2 linked regions of the Drosophila melanogaster genome follow. The main gene of each other region encodes a partner of the protein of the gene in region 2 in a complex. Each region holds a gene or a part of one and is shown on either strand. Other genes may lie near its edges. A codon is read from its position in the direction of its gene.

Region 1 (7,365 bases), on a different chromosome or scaffold from region 2:
AGTTGCAGCAAGTCTTGGAATTTAGTGTCCACGTTTTGTGAATTCGAGTTGCAAAGCTCGACCAAAATGCGTTTCGCTTTGGCTTCATAGATGGGCTGGAGGCACAGCTCAAACTGCTTGCCAAATTCCTGTTGCAAATGTTAATGGATAATGAATGACTAAGAGATCAATTATACTCAATACCTCAGCCTCCTCCAGTCGCCCCTTGCAAATCAGCTTCTTAAAACGATCACTGGGGTCGGTCTCGGAAACGAGCATCATCTCCACCACGGAGGGTATGCTGCTCTGGTTGACTTCCTTGGCAGCCAGATAATACAGATTGACCGCACACTTAGGCTGACGCACAAGCCATGCGTGATCAGGAACTTCTACCTCGTTCTTCACATTGAGCGCTGCAATGACACAAGGTTTTTAGCCTTACTGTATGTTTATGTTTTATGTTTGCTGGACTCATACTTGGGTACTCCACTATCTTAATGAAGCGTCCCTCCGCCGTTGATTTCGTCAGCACCAGAAGCTCAATGTTATCTTCGCTGCACTCCATAACCAGCAGATCCTCGATGAGCAGATTTTTTTGTTGGGTAGTTTGACACATGTACACTGTGCGAGTGTATGGACAAATCTCCACCAAGTGGCCGGAATCGGTGAGTGCGATACTGCAAAACCCAGATACACGTTAGAGGGATTCTAGCACCACAATAAGCAAACCCACTCACATATAGTGTTCCAAGTTGAAGATCTGCTTTAGGCTGCCGTACTGAGCGGGCAAATTTATTCGTGTCACGTCATTGGCTGCATTCCTAAAGTTCATAGTGCTTTGATCTCCAGTGATAACTAGACCGGGTTGCGCCTCCAGATCATCCTGATTGTTCTCGGCACTGATGTTGCCGGTCAGCAGCCGCTTGAGCAGCACTGCACAGTCCACGCTGCACGAGGATCTGCCCTTGGAAAGACGTTGAATGGTGACGTCCTCGAGCAGGGCCTTTTCGCAAGCTATAGTTTCGTTTTCATTCAGGCTCATATTGCCTAACGTTTCCAAGCAGGTCTCATCAATGTCGCTTAAGCTACACAGCGTTTGAATCGTTTAATGAAATAATGTCAAGATCCAGTTTTATCACGCATATGCCAGAGCCCATCTCTGTGAATGGCTTACCTATAGATGCTTCCATTCTTACAGGTGAAGTAAAACCGCTGATCCAGTTGATGGATGCTCCGGAAGGTCCCGCCAGTTAGGCTCACGTCCTCCAGATTGACGGCCACGCTGAACAGGAGCAGGCCCTTGATGAACACTCCGTGAACTTCGCCATCGCTGAGGCCGCATACAATCAGGTTGCCGCTTGAAGAAATGGCAATGGCCTCAATGGCTGCCCCGAATGCCAGAAAGCTGCACTTGGCCACCAGTTCGTCCTCCAGGAGCAAAAGGCTCTTGTCGATGCCAATGACCATCTTGCCGCACTGCACGGAGGCCATGACATCTGGATATTTGTTTACCTGACAATGAAAGAAGGCGAGCGTAGAAACCCAACTGCAGATTCTGCACAATAAGGACTCACTTCCTCTTCACTGCTTATTTGGAAGATGCCTCGCGACGAAAATATGTTGGAGATGGTTTCGTCCTCCAGGGAGGACGCCTCGAAGTTGCTCCACATTGCTGTTCAATCCGCTCTAGCCTAATGTGCAAAACCTGCCAATTTTAAACTCTTTATTTAAACACCGCCAATAAACAAGCGTCGCCTGAGAGTTTGCCGATAACATTACCCGCATATCGATAGACGATTGGCGGCATGAAGACACACTACGTATTGACCTTGGGGCTAATACGTTTACGCAATTTATATTTATTACTTAAATGACGTATGTCCAAATCGTAATTTCTCCTTTAAACCTATTACTTTTTAAATGTTAACGTAGTTGCAAACTACTTCGTGCTGGCTTGCTTTGGCCACACTGAGCCGCCGACGGAATTCCGGCATTTCTCTTGACGTGCGCAAACGGTCACACTGGCGGACTTGCAATGAAAATTATTTATATTTCGCTTCTTCGCACGCAAAAATTGGTCAAAATAAACAAAGGTTAATGTGCTGCTGCTATATAACGGTTCAGTGGTCAGTCCGCCGGACCGCCGAATCCGCGTAACGGTAATCCGTGCGTGTGCCGCTCCTATAAACGGCGCTAATTAAAAGTGGATGCTGCAGTGGCCATCAAATCAACAAAAAGCCAACCGAAAACGCAGGCTTCACAAATCGCGTAAACCCTAACACAATTTCCTTGGGAAATAACCGCCGGTTGTTTTGTTTTCCGATTAAAGACAAACGCAAAAAGAACCCGTAAATAAACAACAGTTAAGCGCTGCACTGCAATTAAAACGGAACGGGAAGCGCAGCGGAGGACATAAAATCGCTGGCAAGAAGAAGAGCGCTGCCAGAAAGCGCCCTTTGAAGGGTTTATGAAGGGGAATTAGTGGCAAACCGCAGTGCAGAGTGCTAAAAAAACGAACTCCTGACCTGAAGTGATCAAGGATCAGTAAGAAACTGAGAAGCGGCAGGTGCTTGGCGCTTTGAAACGAGACAACACGACGCTGGGTTTCCAGGGTAGAGTTGCCAACCCGAAAAATAAGCGGGGTTGCCGTTCGTTGCGCCGAAAGTGTTTACCTGCGTTTTGGGAGTCAGTTGCTTTAAAAACGCGATTTTCATAAGGGTCCTGGCCAGGAGATGTCTTGGTGAGTAGTTGAGGAGGACTGACCCACAGGATGCCAGATACTCATTTGGCACCCTTCACACTCCCAGGAACTCAAACTCCAGGCGGTCGCAGGCCGGATAACCGGCAGAAAGCCCAAGCCCACCAAGCATAACCCATTGTAGTTGGTCACCGAAGGATCCAGTGGATTTGTGCCCACCTCCCTAGGGACATCAGAACCAAACCCACTCCTTTACCAGCGTCGAGATCTCCTGCGCGGGATTGGCGACGCCGCTACAACCGAATTTCTTGCCCCACGCCGTTGAAGAAAAGCTGCCACCATTCGGAAGAAGAACACCTCGAATATGACCCACAATCTTGGTATGGCGCCATATCGATTGCCGGGTCCAGCGGGCGGACTCTGTCCGCCCGATTTTAAGCCGCCGCCTCCCACGGACATCATCTCGGCGCCGAGCAATCCGAAGAAGCGGCGAAAAACCTCAAGTGCCGCCAACTCCGCTGCAGCGGTGGCTGCGGCGGCGGCTGCAGCAGCTGCTGCGAATTCCATGCAGCAGCAGCAGGCGCCACCCACACCGCAGGATTTGCTGCCCCCTCCGCCAATGGGAGGCTTCGGAGACACCATTATTGCCTCGAATCCATTCGACGACAGTCCCCAGGTGTCGGCGATGTCCAGCTCAGCGGCCGCGGCGATGGCGGCCATGAATCAGATGGGCGGCGGACCAGGAGGTGGTCACTTTGGCGGCGGTGGACCGGGTGGGCACCCGCACTGGGAAGACCGCATGGGCATGGGCGGTGGACCTCCTCCCCCGCCTCACATGCATCCCCATATGCACCCGCATCATCCAGGCGGACCTATGGGTCACCCACATGGCCCACATCCGCACATGGGTGGTCCACCTCCAATGCGAGGAATGAGCCCCATGCACCCCCATCAAATGGGACCGGGACCAGGCGTCGGACTACCGCCGCATATGAATCACGGAAGGCCAGGGGGACCTGGTGGTCCTGGAGGACCCGTCCCAATGGGTAGTCCCATGGGTGGAATAGCTGGCATGGGCGGCATGAGCCCAATGGGCGGAATGGGAGGCCCCAGCATATCACCCCATCACATGGGCATGGGTGGTCTGTCGCCCATGGGAGGCGGTCCCAACGGACCCAATCCGCGAGCCATGCAGGGTTCACCGATGGGCGGTCCGGGGCAGAACTCGCCAATGAACTCACTGCCTATGGGTTCGCCAATGGGCAATCCAATTGGCAGCCCGTTGGGCCCTCCCTCGGGACCGGGCCCTGGGAATCCCGGCAATACCGGCGGACCACAGCAGCAACAACAACAACCTCCGCAGCCACCGATGAACAACGGGCAGATGGGTCCTCCTCCTCTGCACAGTCCGCTCGGAAACGGACCAACGGGTCATGGCAGTCACATGCCTGGAGGACCAATCCCAGGACCAGGTCCTGGGCCTGGCGGCCTAGTAGGTCCCGGTGGCATCTCCCCCGCGCACGGCAATAACCCGGGTGGTTCTGGGAACAACATGCTCGGCGGGAATCCCGGCGGCGGCAACAGCAACAACAACGGAAGCAATACAAGTAACGCCAGCAACAACAATCAAAATCCTCACCTCTCGCCAGCAGCCGGACGCCTGGGAGTGCCGACGTCGATGCAGTCGAATGGACCTTCGGTATCATCGGTAGCCTCCTCATCGGTTCCCTCGCCCGCCACGCCCACGCTCACGCCCACATCGACGGCCACGTCCATGTCCACGTCAGTGCCTACATCCTCGCCAGCGCCGCCCGCCATGTCACCGCATCACTCGCTAAACAGCGCCGGCCCGAGTCCGGGCATGCCCAACTCGGGACCCAGCCCGCTGCAGTCACCAGCCGGACCCAATGGCCCCAATAACAACAACAGCAATAACAACAACGGACCCATGATGGGCCAGATGATCCCGAACGCAGTTCCTATGCAGCACCAGCAGCACATGGGCGGCGGCCCACCTGGCCACGGGCCCGGACCAATGCCCGGAATGGGCATGAACCAAATGCTGCCACCGCAGCAACCCTCCCATCTTGGTCCCCCGCATCCGAATATGATGAACCACCCGCATCATCCGCACCATCATCCTGGCGGACCACCGCCGCACATGATGGGTGGACCCGGAATGCACGGCGGTCCTGCTGGAATGCCTCCTCATATGGGCGGAGGACCTAATCCGCACATGATGGGCGGTCCGCACGGGAACGCGGGTCCGCACATGGGCCACGGCCACATGGGTGGAGTACCAGGTCCAGGACCCGGACCCGGCGGCATGAACGGACCCCCGCATCCGCACATGTCCCCGCACCACGGACATCCGCATCACCACCACAATCCGATGGGCGGCCCAGGTCCAAATATGTTCGGCGGTGGTGGAGGAGGTCCCATGGGTCCCGGTGGACCGATGGGCAACATGGGGCCCATGGGAGGTGGCCCGATGGGCGGCCCTATGGGCGTAGGTCCCAAGCCGATGACAATGGGCGGCGGGAAGATGTACCCGCCGGGACAGCCAATGGTCTTTAATCCGCAGAACCCGAATGCGCCGCCCATATATCCTTGTGGCATGTGCCACAAGGAGGTGAACGACAACGACGAAGCCGTGTTCTGTGAATCCGGTTGTAACTTTTTCTTTCACAGGTAGGTCGACCAGTTTACAATAGATTAAAAAGGTCAAATAGAAAATATTATATAAATATCTAGGAACAATATTTAGTCCATATCATCATATTTTAAACTGCTTATATCCTGATAATTATCTTTTCGGAACAAAATGTTTAGGAAAGTTTATTGGAATCTCATGAGCAATTAGTCTTATCACTTCTAGTTCAAAGTTAACAGGGGATTACCCTTCAATTAATACATAAAATCAGTCAGGTGTTTTCGTTTATTCATGTTCGTCGTCGACTAACTCCACTATCATTTTTGCAGAACCTGTGTTGGCCTGACAGAGGCGGCCTTCCAAATGCTCAACAAGGAGGTGTTTGCCGAGTGGTGCTGCGACAAGTGCGTGTCTTCCAAGCATATTCCCATGGTCAAGTTCAAGTGTTGAAGCGGATCGGATTTGAAATCAGCAAAACACATCGATCAACCACCAGCGAAAGCGAGAGCAAAGCAAAAGCAACAGCACCAGCTACCCAACCACTCACTGTATAAAATATCCAAGCATTAACTCTATCTTAATTGTAAGACTTAAGCTGCTCAATAGTCAAGACCGCGACCGATCCAGAGACCCACCAGTCCCCATCCCGGCAGCTAAGCCCCGTAGCCAGAATGCGAACCACTAAAGTGCCGGAGCAGTGTTGTGAATTTGAGCTCCGGGCTTCCTGGCCAACTCGCGGCGTGCTCCTGAAACAAATAAGCAAGGCAAACCTTAACGAAAAGTGTAAACGAAATATGTTAATTGTAATATAATTGTAATTTGTGTGTGAGCGTCTGCATGTGAAGCGATCGAAGAGGACAACGTCGCAACAAGAAGACGGAATGAAAGCTGAGAAGCACTCTAGTTTGTATTATAAAAGAAAATGGATAAATCTGAAGAGCAGGCCAGGCGGGATGATGGTGCACATCTCCAATCGAATACCACTCGCCTGGCGAGAAATCCGCATGAAACACAACAGACAACCAACCACTCGTAACTATATAAACATATATCTAATGACATATTCAACACATTTGGAGATGAGTATAGGAGTTGTAACGAAATGAAATTATCATTGTGAAATTGCTGCGAACTGCATGAGTGTGTTATTTGTTATTACGAATCTATATTATTTTTATACTTGTGTGCGTTTACATTTTAAATATTTAATACGGAAGAGCGTTTCGAACGATTGATGGAACTGCATCGTCGATACATTTTACACAAAAATATTCAGCATAGTCGGAATCGGAGAATGTATAATAAGGAATCGATTGCGAACAAAAGCACAAGAAATTATGAATTCATGTGAGAAAGGTTAATTTGTAATTTAAGACGAATGTGGAGGACGCAGCGAACATAAACGATTCAAACGAGAAAAGAAATTTGTAAAAATAGGAAAACAAGAAGTACTCTAGGCTACTGCAACTATAAGTTATTTATAATTAAATAAAATACCATATAAAATAAAGTAAGTTCTAGTTATGAAGCAATTTCTCTTTGGAGGTGCGGTTTCCACGAGCTTGCAATCATTAAAATCATTTCAATGTCCTACTTTAAAAGCACCTGCCAAATAAACGCCTTCAGGTCGGGTTGCATTGCATATACATGTATTTTTAATATTTTGTTTCCATACTTAAGCTAAATGCACAGGCTAAATGGGGATAATAAACATATGCGATGCACACCGAAGGCTGCATCGCCACACAAACTTTTCGGAAATGGCCAGTAGCAATACTCAATGTTGCACATGCCGGATTGTGGACAGGGCTCTAAGATTATTACAGAGACAGTCGCTTAAAGGTACAAATTATATTTTGATTAGGCGTAACTTTCTGTTTCGTAGTTTCGTAGGGAGTTCAGATTACGTTCACAGCACGCAGGAACCAAAGGAGGTTCCTGCATGGCTCGCTGTCTTATCCAATGGCCGCCGTTATCAGCTCCGCCACGTCCTGGTCCGTGCTGCGCACCGTCAGATTGAGCGTGACGCCTTCTG
Region 2 (7,948 bases):
ACATAATACTTAATACTATACATTTATACAGTTAAAATCTTTCAAAAAAGTAACTTTCAACCAAATCCGGAAATAAATTCTCAGTACGATTTTCACAAATTGGTTTACCGTGACACACTGCTCCATTGTTTCCAAATCTTAGCGGAACTTTAAACGTGACAAACTTATTTTGAAACATTAGCATTGACTGTTAAAATTGTGATACGTCACCTGGTTCTGGTTAAGTCAAAACAAATTGAACAAAAATTTCTTGGTGATTAAAAATATTTAAATAAATTTATATCTGTACTCTATTGATTTCCTATTGATATTTTGGAACTAAACCTTGGAACCAATCTTGGAAATTATAATTCTTGCGAACGTTCATGGACAGGAACAGGGCGAGACATTTCATTCCAAAGAAACAGTTGGGAAATGAAAACGCTTTAAGTTCTAATTAAAACAACTACCACTAGACTGAAGCTTAAGAAATAAATGCTTAAGCTAAATGTATTATATAATTTTTATTATCTGCAACATTTTAGTGAATAAACAGTTAATAATTGGAGTACATTCAAATTTGTATGTTGTTCTCAGATAGGTGACTGTGGCATGGATAATAGCATTTTCACACAGATACCAATATATCCGTTAAATTCTTAAAGTGAAAATTTTCAAGTTAATTAAAATTATTATGGATTTTTAAAAGAACTTTTTGAGGCAACACTTACTGGTTAGTAATCTATATAATGTAAGCATTAAATCAAACTTTTAACTTATAAGCATTTTATGGAATCATAAATATTCTTAATTGCTTTTAAATAAATTAAATTTAAATTAATAAATTTTAATAAATTAAAATCTCGCTTAGGTGTTTGCGACTATGGAAAACATGCTTAATATCCTAAGACCAAAAAATTTACAAATTTTTTTTTTTTTAATGCGTATCTTGATTTAGAGATTCAAGACCAAAATATATATATATATATATATTAAATAACATTCAAATCATAGAAGCATTTTAAATTAAATTTAATTTAAATTTAAATTAATAAATTTTAATAAATTAAAATCTCGCTTAGGTGTTTGCGACTATGGAAAACATGCTTAATATCCTAGGACCAAAAAATTTACAAATTTTTTTTTTTTTAATGCGTATCTTGATTTAGAGATTCAAGACCAAAATAGCTGTCATATATATATTAAATAACATTCAAATCATAGAAGCAATACTGTTTTGGGATTTGTCTAAGCAACAAACATTTTTGTTTAAATGAAAACATAATTGCATTTCATTTTTTATTCATGAATTAATGCAAAACAAGAGAAAACTCTTTAGTAGATATCCCCGATATGAGATACCCGCAACTCAGCAAGTTTTTTGTTAAGATAAAATGGGAAAAAAGCTAAAATAGCTTTGACAAATGTGGACGTGTCAGTTTTGGGTGGCTTATGGGTGTTTTGCAGACAAATATAAAGGCAGAAACACACGGAAAGACGGACATAGCCAGATCAACTCATCTATAACTATCCTGATAAAGTACATATATCTTTTACTCCACGTGCAATGGGCTATATTATTTGTGAGAACAACACAACGACGCCGGCTGTTCAGATATTTATAAGAGTTTTGCGATATCCCTGTTATTGAGCAAATATAGATAATAAAAAAGCAATAAACGGAACTAAAACTAAGTTTTTTTTTCCAACCAATGTGAAGAAAATTATTACCTCAAATTACAACGGGGACGACAACCACCCAAGAAAAAATATGTTTTTCCATATATATATGCAAATGCTTCGATTTGTAATTCAAAATAATAAAATATGAGATTGCTGACTGAGCTGCATTGGTCTTGCTTAATAGGGTCTTAAATGAGTAGTGGATGTTTTATGGAATACCCTGGTTATTTATGACTTAAAGCTACCAGATCTGGAATTCTAGTATGAAAGTAATAATTATACCAAATTTGGTTTGTTCGAATTATCGCGGTCTGGTCACATATAAGGGTAGTAATTACATTTTTTATATATTAGATTGCTTCTCTTATTATGCGAGCTGTTTATTCCAAAGTATGTTCGCAATTTTCGACTCCTGCTAACATAACGCACGGTTAAAGCAGGAACATTTGGGCCTATAAGCCCAAAATTTCATTAGCTTAATACGATGCTCCGAAGTGTTATTGCATTTGCACATATACATAAAATTGTGACATAGAATAGGAGAATTCCACATACAAATACAAAAATACAAAATCCTCCAGTAAAATTTAAAACGATATCGTGTTTTGCTTCGCGTATCTCACGTGAGATGTAATCGCATGCATATGAGTGGTGAGTGCCTGCGTGCAGTTCCTGGTCTAAATATGCTTAATTGCGTTCGCCGACTTCAAAAGCAATAAAACGATGGATTTTAATTGCTACTTGAGCAATTAGCCACACAAGGGATCTTGGGAAGGTCGATTTGAAGGAATTCGATTTCTAGGATGCTCTCGACAACAATGCCCCGCAGTCCAACCCAACAACAGCCGCAACCAAACTCCGATGCCTCCTCAACAAGTGCATCTGGATCAAATCCTGGAGCAGCGATCGGAAATGGGGACTCGGCGGCGAGCAGAAGTTCTCCGAAGACCCTTAATAGCGAACCCTTTTCTACTTTGTCGCCGGGTAAGACTTGTATTGATTTCTCTTTGTCCGGAATTATAACAACTTTCTGTGTTTCCAGATCAAATAAAATTGACGCCAGAAGAAGGCACTGAGAAAAGCGGACTATCAACTAGTGATAAAGCTGCCACTGGAGGAGCCCCAGGCAGTGGAAATAATCTGCCCGAGGGACAAACTATGCTAAGGCAGAACTCTACGAGCACAATCAACTCGTGCCTAGTCGCTTCTCCACAAAACTCCAGTGAACACTCGAATAGCAGCAATGTGTCTGCTACAGTGGGCCTTACTCAGATGGTAGATTGTGACGAGCAATCGAAGAAAAACAAATGTAGTGTGAAGGACGAGGAAGCTGGTAAGACTGCCCTACAAATGGTTTAAAATTTTAAAATGTATTGGCGTTCACCTTTGTTAATCATTTAATTGTTTTTTTTTTGCTATACTTACAATTTTAGTTTTAAACTTGTAAACTTGACTAAAACTCGCGAAGCTCGGATCAAAACAGACATTTTCTTGGAACCGTAATTAAGCTCATAAAAATATTAATTCATCTTGATGGAATGCATATCATAGATGTACTCAAACATCTCAAGAAAGACCTCAAATTGGATCAACTAATTAGTTTGAGAAAAAATTGCTGTACTTTTAAGAATATATTAATTTAAAAATTTGCTGAGTGAAATGATATAATAGTCACAATAATTTTTAGTTAAACTGCTAAAGCATTTTGAATAGCCGTGCTACGCAGATGCTACTAGACGCGGTGTAAAAGCTAATTTTTATTTAAAAGCTGTCCTAATATTCCATAACCATTAATGTCCCATTTCAGAAATAAGTTCTAATAAAGCAAAAGGTCAAGCAGCTGGTGGCGGCTGCGAAACAGGTTCTACATCCAGTTTGACTGTCAAGGAAGAACCCACCGATGTCTTAGGCAGTTTAGTAAATATGAAAAAAGAAGAAAGAGAAAATCATTCGCCAACGATGTCCCCTGTTGGTTTTGGTTCAATTGGTAATGCACAGGACAACTCCGCTACACCGGGTAAGTTTTAAGAGATCCATATAAAGCAAATAACAAGAATTAATGTCAGTTACCAATTTTATTTGATAGTCAAAGAACTACTATAGCGATATCTCCTGCCTTTTAATTTTATTTTAATTAGGAAATACGAATATTTCTAATTTGTAAAATAAAATTGATTAATTAACTAGAATTTAAAAACCTTTTGAATTAGGACATACCCTTCCAAAAATCAGTAATCATTGGGAACGAGAGTGTGGTCCCGAAGGAGACTACTATAAAACCTTTTGAGCTATCTGATACTGCACGCTACTAAAAATGATTAGTTTAGGAAAATGGGTGTAATTTTGTAGGAAGTTTTCATTTTAGAAGAAATGTGATTATTTTATTAAACCCCTTCAAGCGGAACTACATTTGTTCTACGATATTTTGGAAAAACAAATGGTTAAGTTGGAAAGTGCCTATAAAACAGAATTCCACGGTTTCAAATACTAACCAGGTTTTTGATTTAATTTTGATTAAATGAGAAATTATCACACTTCAGTTAAAATGTTTAATTCGATTAAGGTCGGACAATCACAGCAGATTTCCATTTTTGCGTGTATATATAGAAGTCGCCTTCACACTCTTCTGGCGCGCTTCACCACTACGTGGAGTTCCGCCCGCAGTGATTTATATAGATGATTTACGAGTTATTTAATTTTTTATGGTGTATTTTAATAAATATCTTATTTATTCATTTTACATAGTTAAAATTGAAAGAATTTCAAACGACAGTACCACGGAAAAAAAAGGATCGTCCTTGACAATGAATAATGACGAAATGAGCATGGAAGGCTGCAATCAGTTGAATCCCGATTTTATCAATGAATCTTTAAATAATCCTGCAATTTCGAGCATATTAGTAAGCGGAGTAGGACCAATACCCGGAATCGGAGTTGGAGCGGGGACGGGAAATTTATTGACTGCCAACGCCAATGGAATCTCCTCGGGTAGCAGTAATTGTTTGGATTACATGCAACAGCAAAATCACATATTCGTGTTTTCAACTCAGCTGGCCAACAAAGGGGCCGAATCAGTTTTAAGCGGTCAATTTCAAACTATTATTGCGTATCACTGCACTCAGCCTGCTACAAAAAGCTTCCTGGAAGACTTTTTTATGAAAAACCCTTTAAAGATTAACAAGTTACAGCGGCACAATTCCGTCGGTATGCCATGGATAGGCATGGGGCAGGTTGGACTAACTCCTCCTAATCCTGTAGCCAAAATAACACAACAGCAGCCACATACAAAGACCGTAGGCCTATTGAAACCCCAATTCAATCAACATGAAAACAGCAAACGTAGTACTGTAAGCGCGCCTAGCAACTCTTTTGTCGACCAGTCTGATCCTATGGGCAACGAAACTGAATTGATGTGCTGGGAAGGCGGATCCTCAAACACCAGTAGGTCTGGACAAAACTCACGAAATCATGTAGACAGTATCAGTACATCCAGCGAGTCACAGGCAATAAAGATACTGGAAGCAGCTGGCGTTGATTTGGGACAGGTCACAAAAGGAAGCGATCCTGGCCTGACAACTGAAAACAACATTGTATCACTGCAAGGAGTTAAGGTTCCAGACGAAAACCTTACACCACAACAGCGGCAACATCGGGAAGAACAGTTGGCAAAAATAAAAAAAATGAATCAATTTCTTTTTCCTGAAAATGAGAATTCAGTAGGAGCTAATGTAAGCTCACAGATAACAAAAATTCCAGGAGATTTAATGATGGGGATGTCGGGTGGCGGAGGCGGATCTATTATAAATCCGACGATGCGACAACTGCATATGCCAGGTAACGCCAAATCGGAGCTCTTATCGGCGACAAGTTCAGGACTTTCGGAAGATGTAATGCATCCAGGGGATGTTATATCAGATATGGGTGCCGTAATAGGATGTAATAATAATCAAAAAACCAGTGTGCAATGTGGATCTGGAGTAGGTGTTGTCACTGGAACAACTGCAGCTGGAGTAAATGTCAATATGCATTGCTCAAGCTCCGGCGCCCCGAATGGCAATATGATGGGAAGCTCTACGGATATGCTAGCCTCGTTTGGCAACACAAGCTGCAACGTCATCGGAACGGCCCCAGATATGTCTAAGGAAGTTTTAAATCAAGATAGCCGAACCCATTCACATCAAGGGGGAGTTGCTCAAATGGAGTGGTCGAAGATTCAACATCAATTTTTCGAAGAACGCCTCAAGGGGGGCAAGCCCAGACAAGTCACTGGAACTGTAGTACCACAACAGCAAACCCCTTCTGGATCTGGTGGAAACTCGTTAAACAACCAGGTGCGACCCCTGCAAGGTCCACCTCCTCCTTACCACTCCATCCAGAGATCTGCGTCAGTACCAATAGCCACTCAATCGCCCAATCCCTCGAGTCCAAACAATCTATCTCTCCCGTCACCGCGGACAACCGCAGCAGTCATGGGATTGCCGACCAACTCTCCTAGCATGGATGGAACAGGATCATTATCTGGATCTGTTCCGCAAGCTAATACTTCGACGGTTCAGGCAGGCACAACAACAGTGCTCTCAGCAAACAAGAACTGTTTTCAGGCAGACACCCCATCGCCGTCAAATCAAAATCGTAGTAGAAATACCGGATCGTCAAGCGTTCTTACGCATAACTTAAGCAGCAACCCAAGTACCCCCTTATCTCATCTATCCCCAAAGGAATTTGAGTCTTTCGGTCAGTCCTCTGCTGGTATGTTATATTTGTTTAATTTTTTTAAAGACAAATCAAATATGAATTGCGTTAATAATAAGTTATATATTACATAACTCGGAAATTTGATAGAAAAAATCAGGAATAGAAAAAATAAATTATTTTCCGGACCGCCCATCCATTTCTTGAATCCAATTTCTGGAGTGATTGTTAGAGATAATCTACTATTAAAATTAAACACGAAAATTCATATCCGGTTAATTGAAAATCACTATTGTTTAATAAGAAATTAAAAATATGTTTATTATAATATTTCTACAGGTGATAACATGAAAAGTAGGCGACCAAGCCCACAGGGTCAGCGGTCACCAGTAAATAGTCTAATAGAGGCAAATAAAGATGTACGATTTGCTGCATCCAGTCCTGGTTTTAACCCGCATCCACATATGCAAAGCAATTCAAATTCAGCATTAAACGCCTATAAAATGGGCTCTACCAATATACAGATGGAGGTAAATATTTAAATATTTTATTTAACGTTTTTGTGTTAATTTATCTTCTTTTTCAGCGTCAAGCATCAGCGCAAGGTGGATCCGTACAATTTAGTCGGCGCTCCGATAATATTCCGCTAAATCCCAATAGTGGCAATCGGCCGCCACCAAACAAGATGACCCAAAACTTCGATCCAATCTCTTCTTTGGCACAAATGTCCCAACAACTAACAAGTTGCGTGTCCAGCATGGGTAGTCCAGCCGGAACTGGTGGTATGACGATGATGGGGGGTCCGGGACCGTCCGACATCAATATTGAGCATGGAATAATTTCGGGACTAGATGGATCAGGAATAGATACCATAAATCAAAATAACTGTCATTCAATGAATGTCGTAATGAACTCAATGGGTCCCCGAATGCTGAATCCTAAAATGTGCGTAGCAGGCGGTCCAAATGGACCGCCTGGCTTTAATCCTAATTCCCCCAATGGTGGATTAAGAGAGAATTCCATAGGGTCTGGCTGTGGCTCAGCAAACTCTTCAAACTTTCAAGGGGTTGTTCCACCTGGTGCCAGAATGATGGGTCGAATGCCAGTCAATTTTGGTTCGAATTTCAATCCGAATATTCAGGTAAAGGCGAGTACCCCAAACACCATACAATACATGCCAGTAAGGGCACAGAACGCCAACAACAATAACAACAATGGAGCTAATAATGTGCGAATGCCACCTAGTCTGGAATTTTTGCAGAGGTACGCTAACCCTCAAATGGGTGCTGTAGGCAATGGGTCGCCAATATGCCCACCATCAGCCAGCGACGGTACTCCTGGAATGCCAGGATTGATGGCGGGACCAGGAGCCGGAGGTATGCTAATGAATTCTTCCGGAGAGCAACACCAGAACAAGATCACAAACAATCCTGGGGCAAGCAATGGTATTAACTTCTTTCAGAATTGCAATCAAATGTCTATTGTTGACGAAGAGGGTGGATTACCCGGCCATGACGGATCAATGAATATTGGTCAACCATCTATGATAAGGGGCATGCGTCCACATGCCATGCGGCCAAATGTAATGGGTGCG

What was found. Proteins that work in one complex are often made in the same cells at the same time.
Region 1: the proteins of lgs (region 2) and pygo are in contact, whole or in part, in a crystal structure (PDB 3ZPV), measured with the Drosophila melanogaster proteins. Residues at the interface, in NP_651922.1 of Drosophila melanogaster: His322 (codon at 4,689), Ile323 (codon at 4,692), Phe324 (codon at 4,695), Val325 (codon at 4,698), Phe326 (codon at 4,701), Ser327 (codon at 4,704), Thr328 (codon at 4,707), Ala331 (codon at 4,716), Asn332 (codon at 4,719), Ala335 (codon at 4,728), Val338 (codon at 4,737), Leu339 (codon at 4,740), Thr345 (codon at 4,758), Ile346 (codon at 4,761), Ile347 (codon at 4,764); in NP_651872.1 of Drosophila melanogaster: Ser768 (codon at 5,343), Val779 (codon at 5,667), Gly780 (codon at 5,670), Leu781 (codon at 5,673), Thr782 (codon at 5,676), Ala784 (codon at 5,682), Ala785 (codon at 5,685), Met788 (codon at 5,694), Leu789 (codon at 5,697), Glu792 (codon at 5,706), Phe794 (codon at 5,712), Ala795 (codon at 5,715), Glu796 (codon at 5,718), Trp797 (codon at 5,721), Cys798 (codon at 5,724), Val803 (codon at 5,739).

The regions. Positions count from the first base shown.
Region 1 is NT_033777.3:31,575,307-31,582,671, reverse strand, and holds pygo (pygopus), read left to right. Parts: upstream 1-1,972; 5' UTR 1,973-2,719; intron 2,720-2,786; 5' UTR 2,787-3,041; coding exon 3,042-5,368; intron 5,369-5,659; coding exon 5,660-5,780; 3' UTR 5,781-6,837; downstream 6,838-7,365. Other genes in the region: rod (rough deal), read right to left, coding at 1-128, 184-392, 457-656, 717-1,064, 1,154-1,491, 1,554-1,649; gammaCOP (coat protein (coatomer) gamma), read right to left, coding at 7,286-7,365. UniProt on the Drosophila melanogaster protein: Involved in signal transduction through the Wnt pathway.
Region 2 is NC_004353.4:437,911-445,858, reverse strand, and holds the start of lgs (legless), read left to right. Parts: upstream 1-1,947; 5' UTR 1,948-2,465; coding exon 2,466-2,646; intron 2,647-2,704; coding exon 2,705-2,995; intron 2,996-3,469; coding exon 3,470-3,679; intron 3,680-4,407; coding exon 4,408-6,411; intron 6,412-6,693; coding exon 6,694-6,884; intron 6,885-6,940; coding exon 6,941-7,948. UniProt on the Drosophila melanogaster protein: Involved in signal transduction through the Wnt pathway.